Linked DNA regions of Bombyx mori. Each later gene encodes a partner of the first gene's protein in a complex. Links are inferred from orthologs where the notes say so. Each region holds a gene or a part of one and is shown on either strand. Other genes may lie near its edges.

Evidence for each region. The genes of interacting proteins can lie anywhere in the genome.
Region 2: serine/arginine-rich splicing factor 1A (region 1) and proliferation-associated protein 2G4 share a complex: the UniProt entries of both Homo sapiens proteins name them as parts of the ribonucleoprotein complex. The link is inferred for Bombyx mori from reciprocal best matches to the Homo sapiens genes SRSF1 and PA2G4.

Annotation. Positions count from the first base shown.
Region 1 is NC_085122.1:430,140-433,903, reverse strand, and holds the start of serine/arginine-rich splicing factor 1A, read left to right. Parts: upstream 1-1,203; 5' UTR 1,204-1,422; coding exon 1,423-1,601; intron 1,602-2,344; coding exon 2,345-2,708; intron 2,709-3,602; coding exon 3,603-3,679; intron 3,680-3,764. UniProt on the Homo sapiens protein: Plays a role in preventing exon skipping, ensuring the accuracy of splicing and regulating alternative splicing.
Region 2 is NC_085115.1:12,272,980-12,275,456, forward strand, and holds the end of proliferation-associated protein 2G4, read left to right. Parts: intron 1-518; coding exon 519-665; intron 666-1,161; coding exon 1,162-1,251; 3' UTR 1,252-1,859; downstream 1,860-2,477. Other genes in the region: MICOS complex subunit MIC13 homolog QIL1, read right to left, coding at 1,961-2,149, 2,229-2,385, 2,476-2,477. UniProt on the Homo sapiens protein: May play a role in a ERBB3-regulated signal transduction pathway. Seems be involved in growth regulation. Acts a corepressor of the androgen receptor (AR) and is regulated by the ERBB3 ligand neuregulin-1/heregulin (HRG).

The sequences.
Region 1 (3,764 bases):
TCATCACGCAGCATTCAAGCTCAGTCTCGACTCACCGCAGACTACGAGCAGCACTAGCGACAATCACGCAGCAATTCAAGCTCAGCCTCGACTCACCGCAGGCTTCGAGCAGCACTGGCCCTTGCAAGCTAATCTCAGCATGGACAACGCTAACTAAAAATGACACGACCTCCAGTCTCGGAGGGGAGTGATGTGGCGGGTAGCCATCATACAACGCAAGATAATTGACAGATGTCTGAATCTCGCTTACGACATTTTCAAGTTAAAGCGCATATATACAAGTTCCGAACAACAGCATTCGGACCGTCGGTCTACCGAGCAATATCACCAGCTCGATGGAAGATCTTCCCTCGGTCGTTAAGCTTCCCCTACACTAATTTCACCAGGACAGTTAGGTGAGCAAAAGCGCAGCCAGGAGGGGTGGGATTACTTAACAGCTGCCCGAGCGCCTCCGAAGGAGACTTATCAACTCAAGAGTAGCTGCTTTGACAGCTGATCCGACGAGAAACTCAGCGGGCTGATACATAGATTAGGTTGCACGTCGAACTCTTTGTCGAGTTCTATGAGTACGGTTACCGGGGTCCCTGAGCCTGCTACTAGTGTTAGAGCTGAAGGCTTCTAATGCAAAGGTTATTGGATCTGATGGATCCGTAAGGACGTGTCTAGGGCATCAACGGTGACTGGCTCCTGCATGATTAGAATTCGAGGAGTAATCAACGGTGGCACCAATAAGGCGATTATCATGACGCATAGCCTTATTGTATTATTTATTTTATTTTATTTTATTTAATCCATTCAAGAAGATGACACCTTAAGCACAAGTTCAAGTACAAGTTCTCTAGTAAGTTCCTACCTGATTTTATATGGGAAAACCCATACTTTAATGTTACTAACATAACTCGAAACTGCCAATATTGATCAGCCTATATATTAATTTCCATTTAACAAAAGTGAAGGGCAGCGGGCTCGAAATTAGAAAGACCTATAAAACACGCTATAGGTACTGATTTCGACACAGAAACTTCCGGACAAGCAGGAAAGAATGATAAGTGTCCTGATCCTGATATCACCAAAAGCAAACTACATTTCAGATTAATTATTCAATTTTATGGTGTTTAGTTTTAAAATGTGCCGGACGACTACATACACATCTTTGTATAAATCCTTTCACACGGACTTTTGTAAAAATTATACAGCCACATATTTATAATCTATGACCAGGTTTTTCCACTTCCGTTTTCATGATTATCGTTTTCTTTTCTGTCAAATCCACCGTGATCCAAAATCGGAACATTGACATTTGACGCCATATTGCCCGACTTTCAATTACACACAGTAAAGCGTCGGATTGGTGAAATTAGTCGATGAAGCCAACATAATAATAAGTAAACGTTTAAGCAATAGTAATATTCTTTAGCTATAATGTCGGGTGGAAGCAGTAGCAACAGAAATGAGTGTCGTATATATGTTGGAAACTTACCACCGGACATAAGGACAAAGGATATTCAAGACTTGTTTTACAAGTTCGGAAAAGTAACGTTCGTTGACCTAAAGAACAGAAAAGGTCCGCCATTCGCGTTCGTGGAATTTGAGGATCCCAGGTGAGTGTTGAATTCGAAAAGAGAAACGGGCTATCTATATTACTAACGTTGTCCATGTCTGAGTAGCGATAATCATCCCGTGTCAGGTGGACGGAATGTTCAGCTGCCTTTGAAGAAGATTTAAAAGAGCGCATACGTTATGCCGCATACACCGCTATCTGTACCCGACTATAGCGAAATGAACAATTTTATTCAGCGTTAATATAATTTTCCACACCACAGATACAGATACAGATTAAGTAAACATTTTTACTGATAAATGAAAATGGGACTTTAAATTAACAATTAATCATTTATTATTTTATGATTAATTGACAACTAATTAGTTTAAAAGTTGGCACATATTAAAATATATGAAGGGTGGCACAGATTTAATAGTCTGCCAGAGCACCTGTATCCATAAATCTAATAATATTCACCTATGATTTCTAATTATTTCAGAAAAATTAAAATCAATAAAATTTGCTGATTATTGCCAATTATATAAAATTATAACACACATATAAACACACAACATATTAAATTAAAATTACACAATGAGTGATGTCAAAACTGTGTGTGATTGGTTCTTTTATTAGATATGTCCACTTCATGGTGAGTTGTTACTGTCACTAATGAACGTCAAGAATACCAGGTGCACAGCTCAGAGCCTGCCTTGTTTCACTCCTAGTAGAATATACAGTCATATCTACCTAAATTAATCTGAGACAAGTTATTTTAATAAAATCTATTTTGGAATTCAGAGATGCAGATGATGCAGTAAGAGCCAGGGATGGTTACGACTATGATGGGTACCGTCTTCGAGTCGAGTTCCCTCGTGGAGGTGGAGGTGGAGGCTCTCGTGGTTCTCGAGGCGGTGGTGACCGTTGGGGTGGACGAGGGGCAGCACGTGGTCCGCCCGCTCGACGCTCTGAATACCGCGTGCTCGTTACCGGCTTACCGCCCTCGGGTTCCTGGCAGGACCTCAAAGACCATATGCGAGAGGCCGGCGACGTATGCTTTGCAGACACCTTTAAAGATGGATCTGGTGTTGTGGAATTTTTGAGGCATGAAGATATGAAGTATGCTGTTAAAAAGTTAGATGATTCTAGATTTAGGAGTCATGAGGTTAGTTTCTTCCACTTTATTTGAAAATAATTATAAACATAACCTGTAATGTGAAAGAACAGTACTGTTGGTGGATTGTCCCAAATTTTTTATCATTGTTACCCAACGTGGACATAAAAGTTTCAAGATAATCAATTGTGTCAAATACTTTTATAGTTTAATTTGAATTAGTTAGAAGTTTAAGGCTCATGAAGGAGAAATTAAACCATGGGATAGTGCTTAAACTGTTCATTTACAAATAGCTGCTCAAAATCAACAACTGTTATTTTGTGTCAAACTCAGTAGATATCTATAATGTCCAAAATTGCATTCTGTAAAACTCAAGTAAATAAAGTAAGCAAAACAAACTTTTGAATTCTTTAGCTAGGTTGGACTAAGCTGTCTCCTTTTTCTGATTATTTGCAATACCAGTTTTTTTTTTTTTTTTTTTCAATGTTTTTTTCTGCCCATACTTGTTACCAATTTGTTTACTGAATTATAAAAAATGAGATTGTCCTTTCAACATACAGTTAAATATTTTTTTTAAAAAACAATTCACTTGTCAATTATGGTAAAGTAATTTCAGTTTGAGAAAAACTGATATGAGATTGAAAAGAACAAATGGAATGTAAAATGAGATGTGAGGCAACAAAACATCATCTCAGCTTAAGTAAACTGAGTTTGCTTTCATATTGATATTACAAAAGAAATTTGAACCATGGATCAAATTTGAACCATACTTTCTTAATCTTGATATTACAGACCTTATGGTCATAGATGATGAAGATTATAAAATGAATGAAAAGAAAGCTATATTACACTGTAAAAGCGTTTTACAATCAACTCAAGAAATTTAAAAAGCAAGCAGTGTCATGTAGTGCAAGATTTAGACGTCTATTAAATATTCATTTCCAGGGTGAGGTGACATATATACGTGTGAAGGAAGACTATGGCGGTGGCGGCGGTGGCGGTGGTGGCGGCGGCGGTGACAGGTACCACTACATACCATTACTACATTAACTGACTACTATATCATTTAATTGGCCAAATATATTGATTAAACTAGCTGACCCGGCA
Region 2 (2,477 bases), on another chromosome or scaffold:
TATTAATATTATTACTGCTCGATATTGTTGGCATCTCTGTTGTTCTTGAATGTATAAGATAGATCAGTTAACTCCATAGAATAATACAGGTTTAGCTTATCTTTCTTTTGTAAATATGAATGTTGATCGTCTGTGGCTTGGCAGGTGACAAGTCCTGTATGATGATTTTGAGTCATGCCACTTTTGGCAAGTAAATATGTTCCTTACACAAAATCATATTTATGAGATTTTTTCTAAATAATTAAATGATATGTAAATACGGACATGAATAGATATGAGCATTAGGCCTATTTCTGGTGCAAAGACGCTATGCATTCAGGTCCAAAGGTAAGATATTTGATGTAGCAGAACAATATAGTCTTTCAACTGTGTGTGTTCAAGTGACTGACTGATTTATTAATGTAAAGATCAACTCCAGTAACCACCATATTGGGTGTGAGTTTGCCTAAAGCCAAAATAAAATAAAAATTAATTATAATACTATGAACCTGACCTGACTTATTAAAATTGTTATTCAGGTTCTCTATGAGCGTCCAGGAGAATTGGTGGCACAGTTTAAGTTCACGGCTCTTCTGCTTCCTAGTGGCACACATCGTATTACTGGCTTGCCTTTTGATAAAAGCCAATGTAAGAGTGAACGCAGCATCAAGGATCCAGAACTTAATGTCAGTATTGTTTACTATTATTATCTGTTTATTGAAATATTGTAATGTGAACAGTAACTAAGACCAGATCAGGGTGCTATCTACAGAATGGTACATGTAAGGGCTTAGTTTTTTTTTTAAATTCTGTTATAGAAAACAAAGGTCTATATTAAAGCTATGTATCATTTTTTAATCATCTAACATCAATTTCTATAAAGCACCTACCATTATTTTATTTTTAATTCAGAAAAACAGCTGTAACTTGATTCTAGACAAGATTAAGACCCAACATGATAAAAGTAGAAAACATATTATCCCTGCTATCTTTCATAACATATCACATTGTGTGTTTTGAACAAGCTCAGGGTAAAGTATTTGTAATCTTTTTGAGCTGACTTGTTTTTGTTTTACATTTCAGTTTGAACTATTACAACATTCTGTGAAATCATTTTTTTTTTTTAAATCGCTATGAAGGTGATGATAGTCTAATAAATTGTTTTTCTGTTCTAACAAACAGGCCCTTCTAAATTCATCAGCAAAATCTAACAAGAAGAAGAAAAAGAAAACAGGAGCTGAAGAGCCCATGGAAGTGGAGACTGCTGCCTAGCAAAAATACATAAGTGCCCAGGAATAAATGATATTAACATTTTTCCACAATATAAATGGACAAAAATAACAAAAATTGTGCAATTTTTTACTGAGACAACCACATCTTGACTTATAGTTATGTGAATAAATATCTAGCTTTGTACCTACAAACAAACCCAAGATCTTCTCTGATCTTGGCTTAGACACCAGAATGCCTTCATTTATAGAATACATTTTATAGCATAATAGCTTTTCAACTTTAGTGTCCAATTTCTTTCACATAAGTGTGTACTAATTACTTTATGTAGCCATTTTGTAGGTAAATAAATATGCAGTTATTTTTGTGTACATGCAAATACGTTTTATGGTAAAATTTGATTATAATCAAATTAATCATTCCTGAACTGATATAGTTGTGCACAAATACTTCCCTTTGCGAAGTTAATAATTTGAATGTTTCATTTTTTAAACTGGAATGTGATTTTGTATGTTAAAATAAACAGTGTGTATTATTATTTTTCACAAAATTGTGTTCAACATGCATGAATGTTATAGAAAATTATAAAATATTGACACTGCAAGAAAATTAATAAATCAAATTGCCACAGCTGTGGCCTGTTTTGTAAAGTTGCATTTTATTTCTTATTACCACCAGCTCTAAATTCATCTGATGAAATGTCAATTATACATTTAAAGTATTTAATAAATTACAATTATTGACTAAGTCTTCATTTATCTTTTTCTTGATGTGGTTCTGGAGTTTCCAAAGATGATGAAATAAAGTCGTATGTCTTGAAAGCTGCATTACTAGTATGGGTAGGCAATTCGACTAAAAATCTAAATGTAGCTTTGACACCGCAATTCCAGTAGTACTTGAACAAATATGATATCCTGTCATTAGAAGGTAATGCTGGTAGCTGTAATTAAATAAACATTGGAATTAACATAACCGCAAAAGAAATTAAAAGTAGGTAGTTAATTGAGTTAAGAACATACTTCGTATGGAACTTGGCTCTTTAGTTCCCCGACATATGGTGACATTCCTTTTTCAAGTTCATCATATATCGCCGCTGTCGTAGCACTATCTTTCCACACACCTTTGTCTATTGTGTAGTACACTGCGGATCCAAGTAACGCAGATTTCACGCCAAACCTACATACACAGTTCAAATTAGAATATGTTTTGTACAATATTTTGACAGTTCTATTGCGGTCGGAACAATAAACCAATATTTAAACTTACTT